Anolis sagrei: one gene and its partner. The protein of the gene in region 2 interacts with the protein of the main gene of each other region in a pairwise test. Links are inferred from orthologs where the notes say so. Each region holds a gene or a part of one and is shown on either strand. Other genes may lie near its edges. The genes, in order: RBL1 and RBBP8.

Region 1 (16,107 bases), about 150 Mb from region 2:
ACAGCAGTGATGGGAATCATGTCACCTTCAGATGTTGTTAGACTATTCCAGACACTCTATTTAGTACAACCAATTGTGAAGAATGCTGCAAGGTGAAATCCAACAACATCTGGATTGCAGATCCCAGAAATCCCAGCCAGTTTACCAGCTGTTAGGATTTCTGGAATTGAAGGTCAAAACATCTGGGGACCCACAGGTTGAGAACCACTGTTCTAGAACATTTCTAAATATGTTCTGCCCAGGTGCAGGTATCTCCATTCGGGTGCCGGAACTATCATATTTTCTTTTTTAAAAAAATCAATATTCAATAATCTATATCAGGGGTCCTCAAACTAAGGCCCGGAGGCCAGATACGGCCCTCCATGGTCATTTACCTTGGAGGTAATTTACCTTGACGCTCAGGGTCAACCTAAGTCTGAAGTGACTTGAAAGCACACAACAATAACAATCCTATCTCATCAGCCAAAAGCAGGCCCACACTTCCCATTGAAATACTAATATTTGTTAAAATTGTTAATTCTAATTATTGTATTGTTTTAAAGTGTTTTTTGCACTACAAATGAGATATGTGCAGTGTGCATGGGAATTCATTCATTTTTTTTTCAAATTATAATCTGGCCCTCCAACAGTTTGAGGGACTGTGACCTGGCCCTCTGTTGAAAAAGTTTGAGGACCCCTGATCTATATCATAATGCACTAACACTGAGGCTGTTGTTGAAAGACTGCTGGCAACTAGCTGAACTGCAGCAGCATCACAGATACTAAAAGCAGGCAAAAGGTTATTAGTTGTCACAAGTTGTGTTATCATGATCACACAAGAGGCAAAACTAATTGGTATTTAAGGCAACAGAAAGGGGAATGAGAGAAGGGAAGGCATCTTACAGCAATACCTCTCAGTAGTTGGTCTTTGGGACATTTTTGACTCAAGTACCTAGACTCCATGACCACTGGCCATGAGGGCTGGAGTTTCTCAGAGCTCAAGTCTAAAAGATCTCAAAAACCAAAGCTGTGATCCACTGACTGAGGTGACAAGAGTGCACAGAGGTTCAAAAGAATTTTCTAAAAACAAAACCCCCCAATTTTCAATAAGACCTTTTCATTCTTTGAAAACAAATACAATAGAAATCCAGCAAAAGAATAGTCTCCCAAACACGAGTCTTTCAATTGCCAACAGAGAATAAATTAATAGCCTTTACCTTCCTATCATAGAGCTTGGAGATATATGGCTTAAAATAATGTTCCTTTATGCCCTTGGCTTCTACTAAAAGGCCATCATGTAATTCACAGAGTGTGGCAATAATGCATGGAGGTCCTTCAGAGATCCTGAAGTCAGCTTTGTGAAAGTCTTCTGGCAAACCTTTTATTTAAAGCAGAAAGTGAGAAGAGTTTTTCCCCCCACAAAGATACATGTCTTTCAAAAGATATATGAAAATGGTATTTTAGTGAGAGAAAATCAAGATCATACCTTTGAAAGAGGAATTCAGTAAATCTATTTTATGTGGGCATAGAAGTGCATTTGTATAAATCAGATCTAAGCAGCACAGAAGTAAATGGTATGAATTCACCAGATCATCTCCGATCATACTGAAATTACCTTTAGAAGAAACAATATTAGGTCAATTAAATCACAATTAAAATCACATTCAAAATGAACATGGGGGAGGGATTAAGTTACCTTTGGTGTAAACAAATAGCGTCCAGCAGAAATTGAACAGATCTTTAGCACTACAGGGTATCCGCCTATTGGAAGAAAGACAAGTTTCAGTTAAACTAAAGATAAGCAGGTCTGCCCATGTTTCCTGCCAGTGTGCTGTACATGTGTCTGTCTCCCTGTTCCCCAGAGGCAATTAAATCCATCTGCCAACCCAGAAAGTTTGGGAAATATGCACCAATTGGCTGGCGTGGGAGAAAGAAGATGAGGAGTAACAACAGAGAAGGGAAAAAGAAAAAAAGTAAATTAGAAAAAAACAGCCTTTTATAAAAAAAAATCTAAAGAAAATCTAAAAAAAACAAGGGAAAGAAGAGAACAGGAGAAGAGATTCAAATGCCAGAGAGAAGGAAACACAAAGCTCTCTTCTCCAATATTTGAAAAGAGAGGAGGCAAATAGCAGGCCAGGCCCCAAAGTGAGTTCGTATTCCCCATTAGTGAGGGGCCAGAGCTTCAAACTGATCAGTTGGAGAACCTGTCTATCAGAAGGAGTGGGAGGACAAGACTACTCCTGGATGCCTTCCATACACCAAGGGAGAATAAACAATCTCTTTTCTTTCATACTATATGAAATCCAAGTATCCAAGTACCCCTGGCACAGCAATTACCTCTGTTTTCTACTTCTTTGTAGCTTTGGTTGTTCTTCATAAGGATTTTTAAATATATCCAAAAATATTGGTGTGAACTTCTTGAAAATCACAGTGGACACTTCAAAGTTTCTCTCTAGTCTTTCCACTCTCTCTCGAAACTCATGAGACAGATTTGACATGTCCATCCATTTTTTCATTTTACTAAAAAACTGAATTAAACTTAAAAGAAAAACAAAACATTAAAGTGTATTTTCCTCCTAATAGTTCTCTAGATTTTTTCAACATACAAGGTTCTTTAATAACTCTCTGTTTTGGACCAATATAAATGTGCTCAAGCCACTTACATCACAGGACTATGAAGAAATTTGGATCTCTCTCCTCCAGATACATTGCACAATTCTTAGGACAAAAAGTCAAGTGAAAAAAAAAACCTAGATAAGGCTAAATTAATTTTTTTGCCTCAACTAGAGCAGACATATCTAAATGAATGTGATTGCATCTATACTAATCAGTCTCATAGTTTTTCAATAGGTTTGCTGTAGATAACAGCAAGTGTTTCCAATTCAACTGCGACTTTAATTTTAAAAACAGTATTTAAATCATGTTGGTTTTTCTGAATGTTTACAATACCAGGGTGAAAAACAACCATGAAATTTCTCCACTTTTTAAACCTATCATTCTTCATAGTAATAGTTGAGCAAAAAAAAGTGTATATATTGCAAATGATGTAGTAATCTCACTCAATCAAGGGTTTCTTTTGTGATTTGGGGAATTACATTGAATAACTAAGTTAATTTTGCTTGTTCCAAATGATACCTTTGATGCTATCACGAACGTTCTTTAATTGAGTTGGGATTTTTACTACTGAGCCGAAGTTAAGAAGCTAGAAAACTAACATTATATGATCACTCAGTGAAGTACCTTTCATTTGTTCAATCTAATTTTATCAATTGTTTTAGTAACAGAGTCAAATATAATTTAGTTATATAATATGAAACTACATTCACTACACCACTTTGAATCCCACCCTTGGGAGAAAAGTGGAATAATAATAATAATAATTCACTATAATGTGATTGGTTTTATAATGTATTATGATAATCCAATTGTTATTGCTACACATTCTGCAAAACACACATGCATACATATATTGCTTGGAAAGCTAATAGGAAAAGGGAGCTGTTAACCTAAAGGTATTTAATCTGCAAGTATCTTCCAGAAGGACAATAGGTACCATTCTTCATGATGCTTCAGCACCTGCTAAATGCATGTGTTTAACCAAGCAGTTTCATTTTTAATAAATAGCTCAGTTCAAATACTGTTTTGACCATGAATGTGTAATTGGCATACAAATATTTCAAAACTTCCAGTTTCAATTTTTTTTGTCTCTGAGGCTGTACTCTTCTCCACATTAGCTAGTTTGCTTTGATTTCTTTTTTTAAAATAGTAAATACATAACTTGTTTTCATTCTAAAGATTAATAAAAAATCCAAGACCATACCTTAATTTTGCCGTGCGCAATATCCGAGTCAGTGAGACACAATTTCCTTCCATCAAACCACTTCCTACAGTGGGAATAATACTCTTACGGCAGGCAACATACAGAGCACAAGCCAGCCAATGTACAGTTTCTCCCTGGAAAAATAAATAACTAAAAGTTTTCAAGAGTAACAGCACTCAACCCGTATTCTACCATTTAAACTCTACATGTGACAATATCTGCAAAATGTTTTAGAAAAAATACAGTTGACCCTTCACGTTTGTGGATTTAACTTTTGCAGATTTGAATGTATAGGTTAAAATCTCACTTCCTTTTTTTCTTATATATTTCTTTTCATATACAAACATTTTCCAAAACAATGATTTTGGACTTAAGCAAAGTCAACACTGGAGCTTCCAGTGGCTCAGTGGGTTAAGCTGCTGAACTGCTGAGCTTGCTGACCGAAAGGTCGCAGGTTCAAAAACATCCAAACACCTTCTTCTAAAGACAGCTTTCCCAATGATTACCATCAAAAGCTTCTTCTTAGGATATGTTCAGGCCCAGAGTATTTGGCAACCCGCATCCCTGTCTACAAATCTGTTTGGACCCTGCAATCAGTGGAGGGAGCCCTCCTCTCAATCCCACCCACCTCAAGCACAACTGGTGGGAATGAGAGAGGGCCTTCTCTGTGATCACTCTTATCCCTCTGGAACTCCCTTTCGAAAGAAATTAAAACAACCCCCTCTCCCTCTCCCCCAAGAAACAACTACAAACCTATTTCTGTTCATTAGCTTATTGAGAGGAGGAATAACATACATCAACTCCATTCTAGTGGACGAAGTTGTCAACAACAATGACTGCTATTTTATCGAAGAGCTATATATTTTATACAGATTTTAACGGCTTAATTCTATTAGTTACGATACTTGTTGGATCGATTTATATGCTTTTAGCCTAAGTCGTTCAACCTGCTTTAATCGTTTAAATATCTTCATTTTATTATTGCACACGGTACTGAATGTTTGTCGTTTCATTTTGTTTATGTAACACACTCTGAGTCTCTTCAGGGAGAGAGGGCGAGTTAAAAATAAAGGTTCTTCTTATTATGTTACCTTATGATGTGCTAATTTAAGATTTGTTACACACCACAGTAAACACCAACAAAACCCAAGGGAAAATTATTATTATTATTATTATTATTATTATTATTATTATTATTATATATTTATACCCCTATTTATCTCTCCTGCAGGGGACTCCATACATAAAAACATCAGCACACAATTTAAAATATACAAATATTAAAACAGAATTATACATTATTCATATTAAAAACAATTCAGATTAAATCCATAAAAGTAAAGGTTTCCTCTTGACATGTCAGTTGAGTCCGATTCGGAGGGTGGGGGTGCTCATCTCCATTTCTAAGCCGAAGAGCCAGTACTGTCCATTGACACCTCCAAGGTCATGTGGCCGGCATGACTGCATGGAGTACTGTTACCTTCCTGCCGGAGCTGTACCTATTGATCTACTCACATTTGCATGTTTTCAAACTCCTAGGTTGGCATATAATAATAATAATTTTTATTTGTAACCCGTCCTATCTCCCCAGGGGGATTCAGGGCAGTTTCCAGAACAAAAATGGCACACATTCAATGCCATATCAAACAAGCAAAACAGATCAACAAAAATAATAATCAATAAACTGATAAACTTAAATAATAACCATTTTATCATAAATACATCTCATCATACACATTTAACATAATAAAAGAGTCTGAGTAGTGTAAATGCATTGGAAGTATGATGAGTGATGTTGTTTAAAATAGTTTAAATTATGATATACAACATAATTTTAATTTGACCTGCTGCACAATCACAGCCACCTTAAATCCATAAACATATAAAACCACAGCATTCCCTGACATGAACGTAGAAACCTCCTTCTTGAAAAACCTGCCTGAATTTTTAAAAAAATATCCAAATCAACAAAGTGGATGTAAATATGATCTAAAGCACATTATCGGTTTACAGAGAACGACGTTGAAATCTCAAATCTAAATAAATAAAAATGTAATGTTTGTTTGTGGGATTAACAGAACTCAAAAACCACTGGACTAATTGCCGCCAAATTTGGCCACAAGACACCAACTAACCCAAGGAGTGACCATCACTCAAAAAAACCCTGATTTTGTCATTTGGGAGTTGTAGTTGCTGGGATTTACAATCAAAGAGCATTCTGAACTCCACCAATGATGGAACTGAACCAAATGTGGCACACAAAACTCCCACGACCAACAGAAAACACTAGAAGGGTTTGGTGGGCATTGACCTTGAGTTTGGGAGTTGTAGTTCACCTACATTCAGAGAGCACTGTGGACTCAAACAATGATGGATCTGGACCAAACTTGGCACGAATATTCCATATACCCAAATATGAACACAGATAGAATTTGGGGAAAATATATGTTGACATTTGGGAGTTGTGCTTACTGGGATTTAGAGCTTGCTGAACCCCGCCAACGACAGAATTGGGGCAAACTTTCCACACAGAACCCCCATACTTAAGGCCATCCAGTCCAACTCCCTTCACCAGGGCAAGAAAACGTAATCAAAGCCATCCTGACAAAGACCCATCCAGCCATAGATATAGATATCTATGATTCACACGCACACACAGATATAGTATCATAGATTTGAAAGGGACTCCTAAATTAGGACAATTATATGTTGCATGTTCCAGAGTGGGCAAGCCAGACACTCTCCACATCAACACGGACAAAGAAACGGCAAGAAATACTGTTGACCCATAAGCATAAAGAAATTAAATCTATATAAATAAAAATGTAATGTTCGTTTGTGGGATTAACAGAACTCAAAAACCACTGGATGAATTGACCCCAAATTTGGACACAAGACACCTAACAACCCAATGTATGTCCTTCACTCAAAAAAATTGATTTTGTAATTTGGGAGTTGTAGCTGCTGGGATTTATAGTTCACCTACAATCAAAGAGCATTCTGAACCCCACCAATGATGGAATTGAATCAAACTTGGTACACAGAACTCCCATGACCAACATAAAATACTGGATGGGTTTAGTGGGCAAAGTCCTTTGGCTTTGGAGTTGTAGTTCACCTACATCCAGAGATCACTGTGGACTCAATGATGAATCTGGACCAAACTTGGCACGGATATTCGATATGTCCAAATATGAACACAGATGGAATTTGGGGAAAATATATCTTGACATTTGGGAGTTGTAGTTGCTGGGATTTAATAGTTCACCTACAATCACAGAGCATTCTGAACCCCACCCATGACAGAATTGGGCCAAACCTTCCACACAGAAACCCCATGTGGGCCACAACAATGCGTGGCAGGGGAAGACTATAGTGTATTAGAAACCAACTCTTTCTAATTACTTTATTTTCTAGATCAGCTGACTGGGTCACAGCAACACGTGGCAGGGGACGGCTAGTACCAAATAAAGACATAATTTGATAATATTCAAAGAGAGTCAAATTCGGCCCTCCAGGTGTTTTGGACTTCAACTCCCACCATTCCTAACAGCCTCAGGCCCCTTCCTTTCCCCCCTCAGCCGCTTAAGCGGCTGAGGGGGGAAAGGAAAGGGCCTGAGGCTGTTAGAAATGGTGGGAGTTGAAGTCCAAAACACCTGGAGGGCGGGCCGAAGCTTGAGACAGAGACAGTGATGAGGCGCTAGGCCCGGTGAGGCCTTGACAGAGGCAGGCCGAGCGAACCTCGAGGCTGTAGGTGCCCCTCAGCGCGGAGAAGTCCCGAAGGGCCTCGGCGGCGCTGCCGGCGTCCAGGTTGAGTTCCTGGCAGAGGTGGGCGAGGGCGGCACGGGCGGGGCATGGCACAGCGGGGCCCGGGCCTCCTCCTCCCCGCGGCATGGCGGCCGAGCATCCCCTCACGGCTCCTCCACTCAGCCCAAGCCATGCCCCACAGGCCTTTGCGCCAAACGCGGGAAAAGGGACTGCGCGTCATCACCGGGGGCGGGGCCTACCCTGAGCTCCTCCTCTTCCGCTCTGAGCTGAGTTCTATGCAGCATGCTCCAAAATAGTCTCTAGTAGGCTTGGGCAACCCATGGTTCTAAATGGTTCTAAAGTACTTACAAAACTAAAGTTCTGGTGGTGAAAATTTCAGAACTCTAACAAAACTTTCAAAATGTAATTCTTATTTCATTATTGGCGATTTTTATGACAGAACCAATTAGGAACTGCCATTTATAATGAAATTTTGAGAGTTTTGTTAGAGTTTTGAAATTTTCATCACCAGAACTTTAGTTTTGTAAGTACTTTAGAACCATTTAGAACCATGGATTGCCCAAGCCTAGTCTCTAGGGATGGTGTTGAAGGGTTGGAAACTTAATAAAATGTGGGCTATCCTCGTGTTTTTTTGGAGGGACAACAGACTAATGTAGATAAAGTACATTAGTACAATGGGCTGCGGTGAGATTTCCGGACTGGTTGGCCATATTCCAGAAGCACTCTCTCCTGACGTTTCGCCTCCATCTATGACAGGCATCCTCAAAGGTTGTGAGGTATATTGGCAACGAAGCAAGGGAAGGTATATATATCTGGAAGGTCCAGGTTGGGCGAAAAAACTCTTCATCTGTTGGAGGCAGGTGTGAATGTTGCAATCAATCACCTTGATTGGCATTAAAAAGCCTTGCATCATCAAGCCTGGCTTGGAGCCCCCGGTGGCGCAGTGTGTCAATTTATTTATTTATTTATTTACAGCTTTTATATTCCGCCCTTCTCACCCCACAGGGGACTCACACATATATGGCATATATGGCAGTGTACACATATATGGCAAACATCCAATGCCAATGTTTGACATACAAACATATACAGAGGCTATTTAACTTTTTCTGGCTGCCAGGGGAGCTGTCGCTTTCATCGTCCATCTGCGACGCTGATGAAGCACTTCCGCGTTCCCCGCATGCTTCCCCGCTGGAATACTTTGCTGGAGTCTTCTTTATGGCCTCATAAATCAGTTAATTTAGCCTCCCCACACTTTAAGGTGGTACCTAATTTTCCTACTTGACAGATGCAACTGTCTTTCGGATTGCAAAGGTTGACAACAGGCTACACACAATTGGTTGGAAACCCACTCCGACCTGGGCTGGCTTCGAACTTATGACCTTTTGGTCAGAGTGATCTTAATGCAGCTGTCACTCAGCCAGCTGCGCCACAATCCCGGTTAAACCCATGCTGGCAGGACTAAAGACCGACAGGTCGCAGGTTTAAATCCGGGGAGAGCGCGGATGAGCTCCCTCTATCAACTCCAACTCCTCATGCAGGGACATGAGAGAAGCCTCCCACAAGGATGATAAAAACATCAAATCATCTGGGCGTCCCCTGGGCAACGTCCTTGCAGATGGCCAATTCTCTTACACCAGAAGCGACTTGCAGTTTCTCAAGTAGCTCCTGACACGACAAAACAAACAAACCTTGATTGGCATTAAAAAGCCTTGCATCTTCATGACCTGGCCGATTTCTGCCTGGGGGCATCCTTTGTTGGGAGGTGTTAAGTCAAACTAAAACCAGGATAGTAAATAAAGAAAAACACTCTGAAAACAGGGGAATTCCAGACACGAAACAATCAGAGCCAGCTAACACCTCCCAACAAAGGGTGCACCAGGACTGTGGCGCAGCTAGCTGGGAATCAGCTGCATTAAGATCATTACTGACCAAAAAGTCATGAGTTCAAAGCCAGCTTGGGTCGGAGTGAGCTTCCGACCAATTTTGTGTGGCTTGCTGTTGACCTTTGCAGCCCGAAAGACAGTTGCATCTGTCAAGTAGGAAATTTAAGTACTGCTTATGTGGGGAGGCAAATTTAACTAATTTACGAGGCCATAAAAATCTCCAGCAAGCATGCAAAGAATGAGGAAGTACTTCATCAGTGTCACAAAATGGTCTGTGAAGGGACAGCTCCCCTGGTGGCTAGAATACCCTCATGAAAACCTGGAATGTTAAATAGCCTCTGTCTGTATATATGTTGTGTGTCTATGGCATTGAATATTTGCCATGTGTATGTACATTGTAATCCGCCCTGAATCCCCTGCAAGGTGAGAAGGGTGGAATATAAACACTGTAAATAAATACATAAATAAAATTCTCCCAAGCAATCAGCTAGGCCTTGAAGATGCAAGGTTTTACAATGCTAATCAAGGTGCTTAATTGCAAAATTCACACCTGCATCCAATAGATCAGTTCTTTTCTTCACCCTGGACTTTCCACAGATATATAAATCTCTCTTGTCTACTGTTTAGCCGTGCTCAACTGTGGTCAGCTGTGTTAGCTGTGACCAGCACTGCTGCAGAATTTGAAGAGGCATGAATGGAGGGCGAAAGAGAGAAACATGCCAAGAGGAAGGCGCGTCAAGCCAACCCCGACCGGGACCACCTTCCACCTGGAAACCAATGCCCTCACTGCGGGAGATGATGCAGATCAAGAACAGGGCTCCATAGTCACCTATGGACCCACCCGGGAGGATTATCCTACTCGGACAACAAGGGATCGCCTAAGTAAGTAAATAACTGTTTAGCCGGTACTGCATCACATGATATCCTTCAGAAAGTAGCAGCTGGTAATGAAAGGACCAAGGCATTGACATCTCCGGCCCATCCTCTGTACAGATTATCAGCCAGCATGCCAACATCTTAAATCAAGAAATAGCTTTCTAAGATCTACAGAGATAGTCGCAGAAATGCCTCAACAAGCAAGAGTCCAAAAGTGGCAGGTTAAACCCGGAAGTCAATCAATGGCTGATACTGGTTTAGAAACCTCCTCCGAAGCACACAAAAAACTGGTTGGCTTGGAAGGCACTGAATGCACTCTGGGACCACAAGATGCAGAGCCAACCTTAAGAAATAGGGCTACAAAGCAGAGTCCACAACCTGCAAGTGTGAAGAGCAAACTACAGACCTCTTACTACCATGCAGTTTGATCCCTGCCACATGCACATTGGAGGACCTGCTTACTGCAACACTAGTGGCACTCCAAGTGGCTAGCTTCCTGTCAAAGGAAATTTAGTATAATGCCAAGTTTTAAACTTTGTTGTTTGGGTTGCAGCTAAACATAAAAAAAAACCAAGATTATGGCAACAAGAATGATTGACAATTGGGAAATAGAGGGAGAAAACGTGGAGGCCATGACAGACTTTGTATTTCTAGGCGCAAATATTACTGCAGATGCAGACTGTGGCCAGGAAATCAGAAGACGCTTACTTCTTGGGAGGAGAGCAATGTCCAATCTTGATAAAATAGTAAAGAGTAGAGACATCAGACTGGCAACAAAGATCCGCCTAGTCAAAGCCATGGTATTCTCTGTAGTAACCTACGGATGTGAGAGTTGGACCTTAGGGAAGGCTGAGCGAAGGAAGATCGATGCTTTTGAGCTGTGGTGCTGGAGGAAAGTGCTGAGAGTGCCTTGGACTGCGAGAAGATCCAACCAGTCCATCCTCCAGGAAATAAAGCCCGACTGCTCATTGGAGGGAAGGATACTAGAGACAAAGTTGAAGTACTTTGGCCACATCATGAGGAGACAGCAAAGCCTAGAGAAGACAATTATGCTGGGGAAAGTGGAAGGCAAAAGGAAGAGGGGCCGACCAAGGACAAGATGGATGGATGGCATCCTTGAAGTGACTGGACTGACCTTGAAGGAGCTGGGGGTGGTGACGGCCGACAGGGAGCTCTGGCGTGGGCTGGTCTATGAGGTCACGAAGAGTCGGAGACGACTGAACGAATGAACAACAAAAAACTTTGTGTTTTTTTATACATTATAACTGTATTCTCTATTCGCTGACACAATAAATATTAGTACAGAAAGTAGCTGGTAATTACTCAGTTGCTTACACTCCTGTGTAAGAAGTATACAGTCACATGCAATTCAAAATAACGAAACCCATTCCAGAATTCCATAGCATGAACTTGCTGCAAAGCGGTATCAAAGCGTTATAATTGTGTGGTGTGTAAAATGTGATTGAGGAAACCTTATATCACCAAGGATTTAAGTTGATATGTGCCTCTCATGTTAACCTGAATTACCTATCTGGACGAGCCTACAGGGTGCTTATTACTGACAAACTTATAAGCAATAATGGAGCATACAGGGATGTGTTTACACTGGAAGATTGATGCTGTTTAACACCACTTTAGCTGTCATGGCTCAATGCTATGGAATCATGGGAGTTTGTAGTTTTGTGAGGCACCAATGCTCTGGTAGAAAAAAAAGGTTGAGATCTTGTAAAACTACAACTCCCAGGATCCCATAGTCGTTTGACAGTACTGTAGTTAAAAGCGGTGTCAACAGCATTAAACACACCCCGAGAAGGTATGGCTGATATTCAGTTCTGTATACTCTGCTGATGATAGGATGACTTGGGAGGTAGCTCATTCAGAATGTCGTCATAAGTCACCTCGACAACAGTTAACAATGTTCTTACATATCTTAGGATAGCTATAAATCAGTTTCAGAAGAACTACTGCATATTCCTTTATACTTGGTTTGTTTGTTTTTTAACACTAGCTCTGATATGCTCACATCACAATTACTTATCTATTTCACAGGCGTATGTTTTTCCAATGTAATATACTGGAAGAAAAAAAGGTTTCACTCTTGGTTTGTTTTTGTTTTTTAAATTGGTTCTTTAGCTGTACAGGATGCTTAATTTTGAAATTTATTATCCCATCAGGGATTCCATACAACCAAAAGAAAGTCTCACCAATCATCTGAATACACAATGGATTTTAATTTAACAGCCACACCTTTATGCAAAAGTGCTCAGGGAGTGATGAAAAAAGTATGATAGTAGCACAGAAATATATCTGATAGTCTTGGTCTTCAAGGAAATGCAGGTCTGTGCTTTGTTTCAATAGATTTGAGCAGCTCACTTCACTTTTGCATTGCTGTGCTCTTCAAACCCTTTAATGTGCTAATATGTATAAGGTGCTCACTTCATGGCTAAATACAAGCATGCATACCTGCCACTTAACTATTTCCTGATATCATGCAGTTATTCATTCATCTAACTGAACAAATAGCATGTTTGAAACAGCATTTCAGAAGGTGACCATCTCCATTAGAAACTGGCATCACTTACCGGGGATGTGTGACTCACATCTGAATGTGCCATGGAGCTGCTTCTAGTTTAAAATACTCTGCAGGCTAGGTCCAGCTGCAGAATTTACACAGTTCACCTGCAGTGTTTTCACTTAAAACACTGTAAATTATTTCACCAAATCGTTGTTTTCAAAATGTATGTCAGGACAAAAGCAAATATTTTTTATTTTACGGATGTGCTTTTTAATGTACTGGAACAAAAAAAAATCCATGCTATTTTCTACTGAATCATGGTGCAGCACAGTAGGGACCCTGAAATTTCCCCTTAAATCAGAAAAAGCAAATATTCATACCCTGACTCTAACTTTTTAAAATCCTGATGTAATGTTAGATTGACATATTAATCAGTTAGTGCTTTATTTGAGCTGTAAATCAGAAAGGCAATTTAAACTCCACTTAAGAATTAAATATACATCTGGAACTCTTTTGTTGGGTCCTGAAAAGTTGAACTGTTATAAAAACAAATGATCTTTGAAGAACATAGAAACCTGTAAAATTGTGAACTTTTGTTCCTCATTGTAAATTGGCTGGGCCGTCTGATATTTCCTTAAATGTCTCAGTTAGAATTGTTGATTTGAAAATTAATTTTATTATATAATCAATCAATTAATCAATAAAGAATAGTCAGCAAAATAATTTAATCAATTAGCCCTTGCAACAAAATAATAATTTAGGCAATTAGCCTTTGCAACAACCTGTGTAAAACTCAGTATCATGCTTCCAAAAATCATAGAATTATAGAATAACAGATTTGGAAGGGACCACTTGGGCCATCTAGTCCAACCCCCTGCCATGCAGGAAAAGCACAATCAAAGTATCCCTAACTGAAGGCCATCCAGCCTCTGTTTAAAAGCTTCCAAGGAAGGAGCTTCCACCATATTCCAAAGCAGAGAGTTCCACTGTTGAACAGCTTGTATGGTCAGGAAGTTCTTCCTAATGTTCACATGGGATCTCCTTTCCTGTAATTTGAAGCCATTGTTCCACGTCCTAGTCTCCAGGACAGTAGAAAACAAGGTTGCTCCCTCCTCCTTTGAACTTCCCTTCACATATTTATACATGGTCATCATGTCTCCTCTCAACCTTCTCTTCTGCAGGCTAAACACACCCAGTTCATAGGGCATGGTCTCCAGACCTTTGATCATTTTAATTAATTTCTAGAATTTTGTCATGGTTCCCCCTCTGGAGAAAGTCATTTGGTCATCTTCATTCTTCTTTTATATATATATATTTTAAGGAAATAGGATCTACTGATCAAAATTACCTAGAAATTACTGCTATCATTCTCTGCTACCACAGGGCTACCATAGTGGAGACATGGACTAAGGGCTCAGTCCAAAATCTGTATTTTTCTCTGTAATAAGGTGTACAGAGGTGAGAAGTACATTCATCTCTGATAAATTTCCATTTTTCTGAGATGGCAGAGAAGACAATGATACGTTTCTTGATTTGTGGTACTAGTGGTAAATGAAAATTAAGGCTTAAAGGAACGCGGCATGTGCAGCCTAATAGGATGTCTCGTTCCTATGTTGGCCAAAGTTACTCAAAGGGTCTCTAGACCTCATGTTCAGTCATGTCTCAGAGATATCCTACTTCCCAAAAAGAAAGGACATTTATCAGAGAAGAGACAATTCACAAAGCTGTAAACACTGAGGATGATTGATATATTAAATTATTATAATGGTTTCTGGACAATTAAAGCTGTTCACAATGTACAAACATCGATATGGTGAAATTATAAGTTGCTTACCTGTAACTGTAGTTTCCTGAGTAGTCACCTGCGAATGCGTACATTTGGTAATTGCTCCGCAGGCGCAGAGATTACCAAATGTACGATTCGCAGTGACTACGACAGTAAACAAAATCTCTAGAGGGATTTTTTCTCTCTTGTGTACCAACACATTTGTTTGGCTGTTAAGATTACTTTACATTCAACAAACTGGCCAGCATCTGGATTTTAGCTCCTTGTATGCTGGTCGGTTTGTTGTTCACTATAATTATTTGAATACCCAGTACCCTGATACTGAAGTATAATGCAAATGTACCTGCATTTTCTAAAAAAAGAGAGGAGTAGCAGACTTGAGTAATAATGACACTTGTAGTCATTAGAATATTAAAAGGATGACCTCTTAAGGAACGTTAAAGCAAATTATCAGAAGCCTAATTTTAAAAGCATCCTCTCTCACAGCAAAAAATAAATTGATAATCTGAGGGTCTAAAAATGTGACCATAGGTATTTAATTTTGCTAATTACACATATCAGCAAATTTACTATTTATGATATGCATAAACTGTTAAGATTGTAACAGAGAACTTTTTGAGAGTCTGCTGGCCTTGGCGATGGAAACATGTTGACAGTAGTTGTCTAGTATGGATCAATTAAGACAATTGTACCTAAGTAACACAGAATGTTACACTACATTTGCATCCCAGTGTTGGAGAAAGATGGAAAATTAAAAACAAAAACAAAAAATGAGAGCACTGTCTGATATTTGGGATGAGCGAAATTGTATAGTGGACCCCTGGTATCTGCTGTGGTCTGGTTCCAGGTCCCCTTGAATACAAAAATCTGTAGATATTCAAGTCCCATTACATACAATAGTGCAATAAAATTGTGTCCTTTATATGGAATGGCAAAATCAAAGTTTACTTTTGTGGATTTTTCTTTCAGGGGAAGAAAGAGGAATATTTCCAAGTTATGGATGGCTGGATTTTGAATAAATAATCTGTGAATACGGAGAGCCAGTTGTACTGCAGTAATTCCCATATGGTGCTAAAGTGATGCATAGTTCATACAGCAGTAGCTTCTTGGGTAAAAGGTATGCAATATGAAATAAAGTTAAGCTACAGGCCAAAACAGTGCTCATGCTGAGAAAAAGGCAAATCATGTTTAGTTGCAAGTCAAGCAAAACAATCAGAAATAGATTTCCTAGAAAAAATATTTACATCTCTTGCAAGGCTCTGTGAAAGTTTCAAAAACGCATAGCATAGGCACTAAATTAAAAATCTGATTTTAAAATCTAATTATCAATTTTTACAAGCACAGACAGTTTTATTTTAATAGCACATTAGATGAAGCATCTATGTGTGTTTATGAAATAAATGTGAAATTTGTGATTGTTTTTGAAGATGGTTATGGTTTCAAAAGCCACTGATGTCTCACTGTAAACAAGCTGAAA
Region 2 (16,027 bases):
AGTAATTCCAAAATAAGTATACCACTTAGAAAACATCCCAAGGCTTGTAATAAAACCAAATCCTCCTGACACTTTTGTCACATGTCTAAAAGGAATAAAGGTCCACACCTAGACCATAAAAGTGTGGGAAAAGGACTAGTGTCACACTTGAAACATGTCCATGATCTCATGTCCAAATTTTGATACCGCCCTTAAAATATTCTACTGATTGCAATACACCACCAAAACGATATCTTAGTTATCTATACTTCTATAAGTTTACATACCGGTTATAGTTCTCATCGTCATTGTTACTGTGAAGATAGATTTTAAAGTGACCTGCCCAAGACCCATTATATACAATGGCATGTAAAATGATATACTGTATATAAAATGGTTTGCTTTTAGGATTAAAAACAACAACATTGTTTCAATCCATGGATGATTCCGTGGATATAGAATATATGCCTGTGGGTATAGAGGGCTAATAATTGTATTTGCTAAGTGAGTTACCAAACTCTTGAAATGCAAGGATAATGAGTCTCAGGGCCCTTCCACACAGCTATATCAAAGCAGAAAATTCCACAATATCTGGTTTGAACTGGGTTACCTGAGTCCACACTGCAATATATTCCAGTTCAAAGCAGATAATCTGGGTTTTCGTTCAGCTATGTAGAAGGGGCCCCAGAAGCATGCTGCTGTATCTATAATTTGTTTTAGGGATTGAATAAACTTACTTATATTTTGGTGAAGAAAATCTGGTAAAATGTATTGGTAAGGCTCATATCTAGGTATCAGTTCTAACCAGAGTAGACTTGTTGATTCCAGTAAACACTTATGTAGGTTCAAGGGATTAAATGGATCTCTTGCGTCAGCCAGATTTGAATCCAGATCTATCATAAAATCCATTATAGACAGATCTGATGCATGCCATCTTAACTTGGAAAAAATTGGACATTTATAAAACAGGAACTATGATTATTGTATGTTTAGTATGACAATCAGATAATGGGAAAGACTTGGCTTCCTAGCAAGGGCTGAAATTGTGAATGATTAGTACAAATAGCTAATGCTTTCAGAACAGAGAGCTTTTCTCAGGAATGCACACATACATGCACAAATAATTTGTTGTGTGAATTGCATACAAACATATCTGTTACATGCACGAGACATTTCTTGTGCCACAATGTTTACATACATACAGTGTGTCCCCAAAATGTATGCCTCCTTAACACTTTATACCTGTGGTTCTCAACTTGTGGGTTCCCGGGTGTTTTAGCCTACAACTCCCAGAAATCCCAACCAGTTTACCAACTGTTAGGATTTCTGGGAGTTGAAGACCAAAACATCTAGGGACCCACAGGTTTAGAACCACTGCTTTATACTGTGATTCTGGATGTATTTTTTAAAAAATATATACATGCCTAACAGGATGAAGGATTAATTGCTCTTGGCCAGAGTGTATGTAATAATAGGTTTGGAAATACAGCTTCCATTTCTCAGTATTTGTCCTGTGTGTCATTGTTCAATTGTTCAGTGATGTGTCCTTTTTATGAATTATGTATCATTCTGAAATCTCTTGTCAATCTGTTTCCATGAAACATAAACCCTAAACATTTGTGTTAGAAGTCTTGGACTAAACCAGACAATCTTGTGGCCCTTTAGGTGTTCTTGGACTACAGCACCCAGCATTCCTCATCATTGGCTATGCTGACTGAAATTGATAGGAACCGCAATCCAGTAGTATCTGGAAGGATGCATAAACCTCACCCTCCAAATTCAGGCCCTGAAATTTCAAAGGATGGCCAAAAACATACCCTGCTATACAGAAATCAAAAGCATTTAATATTTCTAGCTCTGCACATAGGCTGCAGTTATACATTAAGGTTAAATCCCATTGAGAGATCAGTTCTATATGCAGGATTTGGGTATTAGACAGTGGTTAACACAAATCTGCTCCTGGAGTATAGTTAGGCAAACCCCTAGATCACGAGCTAAACAGGACTAATATCCCAGTCCCTGTAAGGCAGTGGTTCCCAATCTTTTTTGACCCCTTGACCAGGGACTACTCTCCAATATTAGTACCAAAATGGTTATGAATCAGTTTTTTGTCAACTTTAGATTTGGTTTGGTTATTTAGAGCACTGATTCAGAAAACTGCATTGGATAGACCACATCAGCTCTAGTTTCTGATATAGAACATATGCCATCCAGTAGTCACCATCTGCTCACCCACAGAAAACTATATTTAATAAGACTTGGCACTATAAGAGGGCTTTGTGAGACCAGTCACTTTAGTTGCAACGGTGAGGTCATGGACCATATTTTAATTCTTGCAGACCACTGGTGGTCCATGAACCACAGGTTAGGAACCACTGCTGTAAGGAGAAAATGGTAGTGCTGGAGAAAGAGTGACATAGTGACAGCCTGTCAGTCTTGGGAGGGTCAGGGACAAATGTGTGTGCTGCTGCTACTGTCTCAATTTCCTCCCACAGCAGAGGTGTGTGTGTATATGTCTATAGAATGGGTACTGCCACCAGAGACTTTAATATAATCTGCTTTTTAAAACAAAGTAGCATGACAGAGATGTTTCTATTTCTTATCCCTGGGCTGATGATCCCAAGCAATGAGCAAAAAATGCTCTTTGGAACTGCAACAAGAATTCTGCAATTGCACTTTAACTTGACTGTCTTCCAAATATTGTACTTCAGTTACCATCAGCCTTAGCTAGTGTTCCCTATGGTGAGGGATTATGGAAGTTGCAGTTCAAGGTCATCTGTCAGATATACATTTTCCAATACTGCCTCTAAGAGAATGAGTTTTTTTCTTTACTATTCTTGTTTGTATGCAACCTGAATAAAATTATACTTTTAAGCTCTAAATTTTGTAAAACAACATGTAATGGCACATACATATGATTGTTTTAAAAAGATAGCTGTAAAAGGTAATAAATTAGACAACTTATAATTTGCTGACTTTTAATAGCACTCAGAATTGGCTGCCTCGGGCCACCATTTCATTTTGCTTTATCAGGGAGTTGGTTTCACTGAATTAACATTCCCTTTGAATTAGCATTAAATTAGCTATATGCAAAGTGCAATTGCTTCATCAGTATTACAGGGACAGAGACTACAGAACAATTGACGATGCTCCCTGAGGGACTATAGCATCTGACATAAGTGCCACTCCTGTGGCACAGAAGGTTTGCCAGCTTTTTGACTCTTTTCTCTGAACCACAGCCCTTCAATCTGCTGAGCAAATGGATAGAAGAATGTGTTAGTAGCAAAGAAAAGCACTGAACCTTCAGAGAAGGCCATAAATCTACAGGAACCAAAGCTACAAACACATTCAGAAAATTAGTCAGTAATGAACAAATTATTTCCGAAGTTAGTTTAGTTAATTTCTTCCCATTGCAGTCAACTTGTGGAGGGCAAAAGAGGAAAACACCTCTTTCCTTTTTTTTTTTAAAATAATCTTTATTCACTTTTCCAAATACATATAGTAAAAGAGGGGCAATAGTTAAAAAAAAGAAGGGAAAAAAGGAAAGAGGCAGGGAAGAGGTAAAGAAAGAAAAGCACGGGTAGGTAGAGGGGGGGGGGGTAATTCCTGAATACATCATGCTTGCTGGGTTTTAAATGTGACAGATGCTCCACCATAGAATCTCCTCCTCCTCCTCTATAGGATCTCACTGCCTGGTTGGAATTCTATTCTAACTTACCTTAAAGTAAGCCATGGTTGAACACATTGGGCCTTACTCCTGAGTTGACATACATAGGTCATGCTGTGGACTCTAGATAATAGACTGCAGTATAATGAAAATTTAAAGCATGTCACCATAAAAAGTTAGTTGAACATGGCATATGACATACTTTCCATTGAAGTGGGCAAGTGTGCAAGCAGCCCCCACATTTTGTATTTGTGGGTCCTGGGTATAAAAAAAATTGACTTATCCCCCACCACTAAATTGCTCTTTAGGGGGATATAGAGGGTTTTTTTCACAAACCTTTGGAAATTTGTGGATCTCTCACAAATTTGCAAATAATTTCAATTTTTAAAAAATCTCAACATGACTAAAATGCTTTCTAGGGTTCGGAAAGACTCCAAAACATACCCCTGTGTCCTCTACAGGACTTTACAGGCAAAATTGGTGTTTCCATGAGATCAGGTATAACAGGGGCCTGTCTCTCCAAGGTCTCTTGGCGGGCTAATGTGGCCTCTATGACTTCAACAGTTGCCTACTCCTGCTTTACATATGAAATGATTTGCCAGCACTATGGAACAGTGCAAAAGCAGAATAATCTTGGCATAGGATTATTCCTTTTGTTTGTGAGCAGTCCTGTACTTGGGTTTTCATTCACCTTTTTCCCCAGCCAGAAATATAAGAAATACTTAAGTTCTAATGAACCATGTAAAGTAAAGGAAGAAGGGGGTGTCAAACTGATTAGAGTGTAGAGCCAGCCTAACCTTGTTGGCTAACTTTGTAGGTAGTCCAAACCTCCCCCTCTCTCTCTCTATATATATATCTAAATATAAAACAATATAATAAGCTATATAGTAGTTTTGATAAGAGATGCAGTACTGTTATAAATCTTTCCTCATAAGCAGGTACTGTACCACTAAATTCAATGTGTCTTACTTCCAACTAAGCATATCTAGATTAGGCATGGGCAAACGTTGGCTCTCCAGGTGTTTTGGATTTCAATTCCCACAATTCCTAACAATCAGTAGGCTGTTAGGAATTGTGGGAGTTGAAGCCCAAAACACATGGAGGGCCAAAGTTTGCCCATGCCTGATATAGATGCTATTTAGCTGAAGATGGCTATAAGATGTGATCTAATTTATCCTTAACTTGGAATCTTACTGCAATATTATTCATCTTTCTTGCAATATTATTCAGTTAAGATTCACAACAGCTCTGGTGAATATAGTAGGACTTCTATATCAACAGACATAGAAGAGCTGTTAAAATTTAAAATTAAGGAATACATTAACAACATCAGAAAATTTAGTTTTTGGAATGGTGAAGATATATTATCCCATTTATTAAAAAATATGTGGCTTTCCCTTGTACACTGCAATATGCTGCTTAGTGCTATATCAGATGACAGACATTTGCATCCTCCCAAGGAATAATAAAAACAACTCTTCATCAGCATGGATAGCCACATATCAAGCTGACATTTCCTCTCTGGGATTATCCTGAGGTCTAACAGGCTATTTAGATCTATTAAACAGCTTTGAACCATATATTATTAACAGCCAGTATTTTACTTACCTCATAATTTTTTTATTTATTTTGTTTGAAATCCACTAGTTTTCATGAGAAGAGACCACACAGTACAGGATTTATCCCCCTTTTCCTGCTTTAAAGAGGAGATAGGAAGAGTCACTTTTAGTTCAAACAAAAGTTATTTTGTACAAACAGGCATGACAAAACCTGTCTTCATTCCTTTCTGTTCAACTCAGCCCAGTATAATTCTTAGCTTCAGAGCACAATCCTATACATGTCTACTCAGAAGTAAATCCCAATGAGTTAAGTGGAACTTGCTCCCAGGAAACTGGTTAATCAGTTACCAGATTTTATAGACTTTGTTTTCAAAGTTGTCATAATTCTGATTTGAACTTGGAAAATCACAAATGCATAGACCTCAATTTTAACTCATTCTTCTGGGGCTACAGATGAGGAACCTATTTTATTTTGGATATGATAGCAGTATAATCTCTATATAATAAAGGGACTCGTTTTTCTCCATGCAACTTATAACATGTGCCAGGCATCAATGTGTGGCAGGATATGTGAATTGAATCCATTGTATTTGTTAATGTGTTATGAGTTCATCTTATAAGAAAAGCATCATTTTGACAATCATATATTAAGCATTTTTCTTTATTATGTTGCCATAGTGAAACCAATATATTTACCACACATTTCACATATAGAAGCTAATATTACTATCTTGTATTCATTTACCTTGGCATTAAGTAATTTGAACTTACATGTAGGGATTGCACTATATACCAAGGAAAATTAAAGGTCTTACCAAATGTTTAGGATAACATTCTGGCTACCTATCCTTGCATGTCTCATGACTTGCTTCATGCTTTGACCTGCATTCCCACTAACGTGATGAACAGCCCCATAAGAGAACCACTAAATGATATTAGCAGGAGTCATATACATGATACAACATAATATTAATACCCAACTAAAGCATGCAGCAGTATATCTAAAATTCTTGGCACAACGTCTGAAGTTAAGGTCTTAAAATTGACTATTCAGCATTAAGGGAGACGTTATATACTTACCTTTTTGTTTTGATTGTAAATGTTCAGTCTGACTCTGCTCTTGAGCAGCAGTGGTGGGTTATTTAATGTTTTCTTCCCCTGATCATACCAGCTGGGAAAGGTAAGGCTATAAAATCACCCGTGGACCACACTAGAGAATGCTGAGAGGAGTTTTGCTGCAGCTCGGATATACACAATGTGCAATGGATAACCTAATATGTCTTTCATTTAACTGGCTGGGCAGGTTTCTGAATTCTCTGGAACATGGAATCATACCAGAATTTGTTGGCATAACAGGCCCGTCAAACTGGTTCTTGGGTAGAGCAAGAACCCGTCCAACCAGTCTGCATCAAAGGGCAGCTCAACATGCTGCGGCTCAACTCAGCTCTGAAGCTTCATAAGTGGCGAATTATTCACGCCTCCACCAACTCCCAACAGAGAATGTTGTAGCCTCCAGCAAAACAATTTACCAAAGGGTTGGGGAGTGCTGTATCCCTAACCATATCAAACACAGCAACATCCTATTGTTGCAAAGCTTTTTTATTACATTTCTAGATGGAGCGGTTGATAGATAAGCATTGCATTGGTCATCCAAAGAAAAGAAACAAATGCAAAGAAACCAATAAGAAAAGGATACTTCAATTAAACAGCATTTCCATTTCTTACAAACAGTACTCAAACTGGGATCCAAGCCTGAAGTATTTTTAGATGTTGGTAGCAAAAGCTCCAGTAACCAATAGAAATAGAAATATTATGTTACACATACGATTAAAGTGCGGGCAACACAAAAACGTTGCTCTTTTTGGAGCAATGTTTGATAGTATTTAGTTTGCTATACAGAGTTAATGCAGGAGTGGCAGGTCAGAAGAGATGTGTGTTGATACATGTAAAACTAAGTTGCAAAACACGTTGAAGCATTGCAATGTGCTAACAGAAAGATAGCCCTAATTTCCAACAGACTGTATCCTATTAAGGTTTTACAAGCATCCATTGTTTGTAGCATTCCAGAAGGCCCTTGTAACTTTAATTTTAAGTAGAGATCCAATTCCTAATGAAATTCAGTTTTCTCATTTACCGTTAAGATCAGGATTTGGTTGCTGTGAGTTTTTCGGGCTGTAGGGCCATGTTCTAGAAGCATTCTTTCCTGGTGTTTTGCCCACATCTATGCCAGGCATCTTCAGAGGTGATGAGGTCTGAGGATGCCTTCCATACATATGGATGAAACGTCACGAAAAAATGCTTCTGGAACATGGCCATTGGCCATACAGTCCAGAAAACTCACAGCAACCCAGTGATTCTGGCCATGAAAGCCTTTGACAACACAAAGATCAGAATTGTTTGGTGGGGACACAATATCCAATGACCCCAGTGATTTTTACTTGTCTTTAACGGGATGATCAACTTGGTGGAAATGCTACTTTCAGTCATTGCCATTCAGAAAGCATCCCAAGCTCCGTCTTGAAAACATTTATTATACTGATCACAGCAATGAACAATAAGGAGCAAGAGTAGTACAGAGAAAACAGGGAAGAGAAGGGAAGTGAAGGAAAACTGAGATAGTGGAAGAGAAGGCAAAATGTACAGGGAAGGACAAAACAACAGGTGAGGGAAGGACAAGGATATAACCGTCTGCCCCAAACCAATTTCTCATAGGTTCTAAGGGCCCTTTCACACAGCCATATAACCCAGAATATCGAGGCAGAAAACCCCACAATATCTGCTTTGAATTGGATTATCCGAGTCTACACTGCCATATATTCCTTTAAAAGCAGATAACGCTGGATTTTATTCCACTGTGTGGAAGGCGCCTAACATTATTTAGCTGTATTGGAAAATGATCTCTTTCTTGTTATAAGATTTCAACAGAAGGGCATTCATATTTTCTTTTGAAGGGAAACAAAAAGCAGCAAGATTTTACCAATATTCCATCTTTGAATGATACTTTTAAAACATATTTTATTTTTCATATTCTATGAGAGATTACATGATCCTTATCTCCAGAATTGGATTTCTCCTGTGAGATGGAAGAACAAATTACCTACCATGCACAGTGCTTGCTGGATTATCATGTTAATTTCCCTTTGAAGCTTATATCACCAGATAAAAATGCCCATCAATGTAAAAGACCTGCCTGGACAGCTGCAGCTACATCTATACTATAGAATTAAGACAGCTTGACACCACTTTTACTGCCATGGCTCAATGCCATAAAATTGTGGGATTTATAGTTTGGTGAAGCACTGTTTGGCAAAGAAGACTACAACTCCTATGACTCCATAGCATTGAGCCATGGCAGTGAAAGTGGTGTCAGGCTACATTAATTTTACAGTGTAGATGCAGCTTCACAGTATTACAATAAAGATCTTCAAATGTACCAGATATCATGGACTGGTTTTTTTCATTCAGATACACTTGGGAAAAAAGTGACAAAAGGTATTGGCTCACATATCTAGCTCTAACATGAAAATTTTAATTATACTTTCCAAATGATTAGTTGTTGGAACATACTAAATTACCGGTTCAGCTAACTTTGGATCATGCTGTCATCATTTCATCAACCTTAGCAGAATTTTTTCCAGGTGTGGAAGGAAAAAAGTCTAATTAAATCATTTGTGTTGAAATGCAAATATTAACATAGCATACAGTCAAGGTTGTAGGTTGCAAATGATTTAGAGAATGGAAACAAACCCAAAAGAAGCTACAGAGAGTAGAACAGTTCTAATGGTACAACAGATGTGCAGCGTTTACATTACAGCCATACGACCTCAGGCTATTGTTTTCAGAATTGAGCTCGGTCAGTAGACCTGAACAGAAGAGTTTCAGTTATATGTGGTGTAGGAAATGGTTTTGATGATGTAGACAGGCTTACAATGAGTAGGATTAAAGTCATACTGCATATCATGAAGAAGAGTACTGATTGCTGGAGGTGTTCTTTATAATTAAATATAGTGTTCAAGGACCAGGCTATATATTAATAAGTTTGATTATCAAAAATAGTTTTGAAAGGGGGCAATTTAGAAAAAAAGTATATGCCAACGTTTCTCAAAGTGGGGACCCCGGGGGGGGGGTCATGAGGGGGTTTCCGGGGGGGGGGGTCACCAAAGACCATCAAAAAACACATATTTCTGATGGTCTTACGAACCCCTTTGACAAAGAAGGCTGAAGATCTCTCCACCTGTCCTTCTCTTCCTTTTTGGAAACAGATAGAAAATGCTCTCACCAAAAGCCCTCCTCCTCCTGTGATTGGCCGGACTCTCAGCTGGCCTCTCAGCCAAGGGAAGGTCTGTTTCTGAGACTCCAAGTGGGGAGAGGAGAGCAGGTATGCTCTCCCCTAAATCACTGTCAATTCCTCCCAAATCCCTCCAGTATTTTCTGGTCATGGGAGTTCTGTGTGCCAAGTTTGGTTCAATTTCATCATTGGTGGAGTTAAGAATGCTTTTTATTGTAGGTGAACTATAAATTCCAGCAACTACAACTCCCAAATGACAAAATCAATGCCCCTTAAACCTCACCAGTATTCAAATTTGGGTATATCGGGTATTTGTGCCAAATTTGGTCCAGTGAATGAAAATACATCCTACATATCAGATATTTACGTTACGATTCATAAGAGTAGCAAAATTACAGTCATGAAGTAGCAACGAAAATAATTTTATGGTTGGGGGTCACCTTAACATGAGGAATTGTATTAAGGGGTTATGGCATTAGGAAGGTTGAGAACCACTGGTATATACAGGACATGTTAAGGTGAAGTAGATGCATCATTAACCCTCTCCTTCTTATAATTTTGCTACTCAAACTTTCCTCTCTCCAAAGAAATTTTCTCCTGGATTCCAGATGTGTTTTCTAGCATAAATTTGTCTCTGGCAAAAGTTCACTCCGAAAGTTGCTGCTTGATTCTTTCATTCTCTCACTTTTTTCATTTTATGCTATAACAAAGTAACACGACTATTTTTTAAAGGAACTACTGGTAGGTGAAGAAAAATCAAAGTTCATATTGCTACCTTTTTAATGTAAATTTGCCCTTTCCCATACTGCTTTTCTGTTCACAACTACAATGGTGACCAGGGTTTTAGAACACGTTTGCATGCTCTTGACCTTTAAATAATGTATTTTTATTCCCAAAGAAAGGCAATGAAAATGAGTACAATATAGGTAGTGATAACCATCAAAAACAGGATTTTAAACACACATGCTTGCAAGCTCCTAACCCTTAAATAATGCCTTTCTTATGGAATAAAAAATACAGTGAAAATGATTGCAACATAGGTAGTGTTAATCATAAAAACATTTAGAGACAATTTACTCTGTCTTGCCTATTTCATTAACCTGTTTGTTAGTAAGATTTTGATGATATTGTGTTATGGTGTTACTCACTGGTTGATAGTGGAGAAGTTCTGATCAAACCATTTCCTATAATCCCTGTTGTTGACAGGTTTTCCTTAATTATTTCACTACACGCGAAATCCATGAATTCATTTTTGTGCTTAGCACGTTGTGCTTAGCGAGCACTTCATTTTATAGAGCAACACAGCAATGTGTCTTAAGGTGAAAGAGTTTGAATTTCACAATCTTTCTTAAAGAAGCAGCAGCTGACACAGGTGCTGACTTGCTCCTTTGGTAAATGTATGCACAAACATTCAAGGTTTTATTATAAAAATGCACAATACAATATTGAAATATGTCCAGAAGCTTTATGAACAAATCTGTGGAGTCTCAGGGTGGATCTAGACAGCTCTTTTACTGCGGGAGTTACCGCAATAAAAAAGGGGCTGTCCAGGTGACGTCCTGGACAAACTTGCATTAATCTCCCACAAACCAGGAAAACCCTGGTTTGTGGTAAATTGATTTGATAGTGGGTTTATTCCACACTTTCTTGGAAGACACAGGACAAACCCACTACTTCTGGTGTCTGGACAGCAGAATACTGTCCAGACAGTATTCCCACAGTTTTCCAGGCTAAATTAGCCTGGAAAATTGTGGGAATACCAACCCCTCCTCAAAAGCCCTCTAAAGAGAGAAAAGAACTCACCCAGCCTCCATGGGACAGCTGCTGGAATTCTACTGGTGTGTACAAATGACATGCCAGGAGAAAGGGGGGTGGAGGAGGAAAATCACTCCTGCCCCCCCTTCTCCTGGCATATCATTTGTACACATCAGAAAGTGCGTGTGGATGGGGTCCCTGTATGGAAAGGCCCTCAGGAGCAGGGATAAAATCCCTGAGAAGGTTAGCCAACACATATTTTCACAATACTCGCTAGTAGGACAAGGAACCCCAAAGCTGTCATTTGGACATAGACACTGATGAATTAAAGTTGCAACATTTTTATGTAGGAGGCAGTCTGGATTCGGAATTCTGGATTATGATATGTATCAATAGTATGTGTGATGTATTTTAAAACATATTTTATTAATAATATCATGGCAAAATACAAATAAAAGCAGGTTAAAAATAACAATATACTTGTAAAAATAAATAACCCTTGTTGATTGATAATTTCTTAGCCCAATTCATGCTTTTAAAAACATCTTTCAAATCCTACATGTGTTGGAATCTGCATTTGGTCTAAGTCAGGAGTGGGCAACTGCATATCCATCAAGGGCCAATTATTTTACCCCCCCCCCCCCCCAATGTCTGGGAGGGCACACCCCATCTCAGCCTTTCAATAGGAGTGATCCTAGATTAATCATTGAGCCTGGAACCTCAGGCTAGGGGAGCTTTTGCACAATTAAAACTTGCGTGCCAGTTGTGCCCGTACCTTGGGAAGTCAGACTTGGCCACAGTAGTCCATGCTCTTGTTATATCCCTAATAGACTACTGCAATGCACTCTACGTGGAGTTGCTTTTGAAGACTGCTCAGAAAGTTCAACCGTGATAAGATGACTAGTACTTCTAATTGCTATTTTGAGAACACATTGTGTGTGCATGTGTTTTGTTTTTTGGGTTTTTTTAATGGAGGACTCTGGTAGACTGGAGGAGGTTTCAGGAACTGAAAAGTGACATCTAAAAAAGTGCACGCTAAAACGCTCCAACAAAGAAATACGATTCTTTGGAAGATCCAAAAGCAGAAGATGAGAGAAGATGCAATGATAGAAAGAAGAGACTAGATTCACCAGCATTCTAGGGACCTCTTCACACTGGGTTTTTTGTGGCCCTATTTCCTTCTTCTGGATGGGGCCTGCCAAGTGCCATCAAATGACACTGGCTTGGTCCCACCCCTATTCCTCCTGAAGTGGAGGGGAAGCGTCACAAGATGCTTCCTCCTCCACAGACGGAGAGGAAAGTGTGTTTTGGGTAGCTCTGATGTGCTGCCTGATTTTTTTTTTGCCCTTTTACTCATTTGATGGGGAAAAGGGAAACGTGGCAACATGGGTTGCCACCCTTTCACCCATATGATAGGTCAAGGATATGCACCTTGTCCCATGCCCACCATATGATGGGGGAAGGAGGGAGAACATGTGGGGTACCATGTAGCACCCCACACATCTGCAGGTGAAATGGCATGGCCATTTTAGGACTTGAAAGAAAATAAATACTGCAGAAATGTCCTGTTTTAACTGAGCACAGCTGAAGATAAGTGCTGGTGCTATTGAAGTTATTTAAATGTTGCCATGTTCTTTGGGCATTCTGGGAGCGATATGTGTGTGTTCCCCAAGTTTTGATTTTTTGTTGTAGGAATGATAACTTCTATGTAGTCTTTGCTTTTGAATAATTGTGATGCTTTGCCTTGTTTGTGCTTTCTTTGCTGGCTTCTGATAGCTCTACACACTGTTTGAGAGAATCCAGCAAAGCTTTCTATGTTCCATGAAATAATGTAGGTCTAGGTACTTGCTTGAGTGATCACTTATTATTTTCCCCTCATAGCCAAGTTCACATACCAATTAACCACCTGCAGTGCTATCGAGTTGGAAAGCACAGCAATAAAGCTTCCTAGGAAATTAGATTTTCCTACCATCAGTGTAATTAAATCAACTAGAGAGAAAATGTGCATCTGGGTGTTTCTAATCTGTGCACAGGATGTGGAACACTGACTTTCATGAAAAGCCCAAGATTGACACTAAGTGTTGGATCAACAGTTTAGCTTTGTTAAATTTGAGTTCATGAACTTGCAAACCACCATCTGATATTTTTTTCCTCTGGAGTGACAGTGCTTGAATTACTGGGCAAACCACATTATTTTCAGGAGGAAAAAGAGGCTTGCTGGGGCAAAGCTGACCCATTCAATGTAAGTCTTACAGGAACATTGAGATCAAATGAATTCCCCCAGGGCTGGGAACTGAGCCACCGTGTCTCTCTCCGATTTTGTGAGTGCACACTCCATGCTGTAAAAGCAAAACTGCACCTGTTGATAAAGATACACGAGAAGACTAATAAATCCCCACTGTCTTTAAAGATGCATCCACTTTATCACATCCTGTGAAAAGAGTTGTGTATGTTCCTTTAGGTTGTCTGTTGATTTATCCCATACATTTTATTGAGTTTTCTTAAGTAAGGAATATTCAGAGGTAGTTTGGCATTGCCTTCCTGTGAAATAGCCTGCAGTAACTGTTAATCCTTGACGGTCTCCTATTCCATGTACTAACCAGACCTGACCCTGCTTACATCGAAAGATCACAAAGGAATTAGTGCTTTTTGGATCTTTAGACCCGTGAAAACAGACTATATGTTTTCATTAAAAAAAGAAAGAAGATCAGAAACCAGTTATGACTTTATGGGATGAAGAGAACCCAGGGAAGGAATCCACAGGCACTGTGATCCAGCAGATGATCTGGAAAGATATTCATCGCCTCTCCATCCCCTCCAGTATTGTCCTGAAGATCACAATGCTCTTGTGTCCCTTTCCTGGTTTCTACCCTTCTGTGCCAAGTACACATTATTGGAAATTCCATAACTTTTTGGAAGTAAATGCACCACAACCTTATTGAAAAGGTAAAAATGAAGTTACATCCGTTTGGCAAATGTGAATCTTCATGGACATATGGAGACCACCTTTTGAAAACCACTAAACAAGAAAAGCATGGCCTTGTTAGAAGTCTACCCTTTGAACAAATTATATTCACAAGTGTTCATGTAATGGCACACTGGTAACTCAGCTGTTAAACTGAAGAACCATGTCTTTAAACTGCCAAAGATAAAGACATGCACTACCAAAATATATTTGGTTAGCAGATGAGGATTGTTTCTTTGATTTGAAATTGCAGTTGTAATTGCCCAAAAAATACACCCCCTTGAAATCTCTTAGTTAAAGGTTTCAGAGATAAGAAAAAGTCTTCTTTGAAAAATAACATATCTTGTTTATTCATAAACAACTTGCATTAATTCACCATACAGGCACATTTCTTAATAGAGTTCAGTTTAAGAAAGATGTAGTTTCTTCTCTGTGTTGAGTACACAGGGTATTATCATCATTTGTCCATGGTCTTTAAGTATATCTGCACTCACTGAAGTCCATAAGTCATACTTCTCTACTAAAGTCCAAACAGCAATATGCATCCACCTCCACTGAGGTATGATGCAAACCGAACCCAAAATGAAGTCCTGTGTCTGAAGCCCCTCCTACACCAAAGAGGTACAGTCAAATTGGCAAACCAAAATGTACATACAATATAGGTTAACAATTATGTTGTTGTTCATTCGTTCAGTCATCTCCGACTCTTCGTGACCTCATGGACCAGTCCACGCCAGAGCTCCCTGTCGGCTGTCACCACCCCCAGCTCCTTCAAGGTCAGTCCAGTCATAACAATTATACACATTTACAAACAGTTAGTGGAGGCTTGGAAGGTTGCTATTTCCAAAACACATTGAGCTCAATTGAAGAGCTGACTGTTGGCTTTGGAGTGCTTGGTGGACCAAATGGTGGTTTGGCTTCTGGGTGGGTTGAGATGACACTTTGGAGCTAAAGGCGTGGCCTTGGGACTGTGTGTATGTGTTGGTAAACAGGAGGAGTAGGCAAGGTGGTTCTGGGAAACTTCAATTGTTCAACTGTTTCCAGTTGTTCCATATATCTTTGAGTTTCTATTCTTCTGCAGTGGAGGAGATCCTCTCAGAGTCATGGTCAGGCTGGATCATGAGAGCCTGAGAGTGGTTATGAAACACTTTCTCTGTGGATGCTGTCCTGAAAATATTGCTTGAAACCTGAATGATAACTCTGTTATTACAACAGAGGACAACTTAAATTAAAACCTATTATCTCCAGAACTGCACAGCTAGGGCTGTGTGCTCAAAAACTCCTCATGCAATTGTGGCAAACAGGTCTAAAACAGGGAAAGAAGCCAAAGTAGTTTGAAATACTGTTATAAAGATACAAGAAATACACCCATATTTCACTGGTTACATACAAGCCCTTGTTCATGCTTTCACAGCACTTTGGATTCTGATGTAATTTTCTGTAATTACATAATTTTTATGTAAATTCATATTTTCAACCTGGCCCTTATCAGATATGTGAAATCTCAAGTATAGCTTGTGGGCAAACATTCAAGCATTTAAACTGGCTCAAATAGTGTTTTTAGAGATGTGTGATATAATTATCATAAATCAAGATGCCTTACATCACTACAGGCATGTTTCTCTTGTTACATTAAAACTTTATGTATGATTTCATTATAAGATGTGTGTTCCAAGAGTTTGGGGTGTTTTGAAGGATAATACTTAAGGCACAATCCTGCACTCAAGATCTATCAGTATTTGGGAACAGGGTTCAGCAGAAACCTTAATATGTTTGCTGGGGACAGAGATATACTGCTACCCTTCCAACATGAC

Evidence for each region.
Region 1: the proteins of RBBP8 (region 2) and RBL1 interact in a two-hybrid assay, tested with the Homo sapiens proteins (2 studies listed by BioGRID and IntAct). The link is inferred for Anolis sagrei from reciprocal best matches to the Homo sapiens genes RBBP8 and RBL1.

Annotation. Positions count from the first base shown.
Region 1 is NC_090024.1:207,658,833-207,674,939, reverse strand, and holds the start of RBL1 (retinoblastoma-like protein 1), read right to left. Parts: upstream 7,766-16,107; 5' UTR 7,694-7,765; coding exon 7,541-7,693; intron 3,934-7,540; coding exon 3,800-3,933; intron 2,518-3,799; coding exon 2,317-2,517; intron 1,741-2,316; coding exon 1,676-1,740; intron 1,595-1,675; coding exon 1,466-1,594; intron 1,358-1,465; coding exon 1,197-1,357; intron 1-1,196. UniProt on the Homo sapiens protein: Key regulator of entry into cell division. Directly involved in heterochromatin formation by maintaining overall chromatin structure and, in particular, that of constitutive heterochromatin by stabilizing histone methylation.
Region 2 is NC_090024.1:59,989,207-60,005,233, forward strand, and holds the start of RBBP8 (DNA endonuclease RBBP8), read right to left. Parts: upstream 6,619-16,027; 5' UTR 6,286-6,618; intron 5,343-6,285; 5' UTR 5,255-5,342; intron 1-5,254. UniProt on the Homo sapiens protein: Endonuclease that cooperates with the MRE11-RAD50-NBN (MRN) complex in DNA-end resection, the first step of double-strand break (DSB) repair through the homologous recombination (HR) pathway.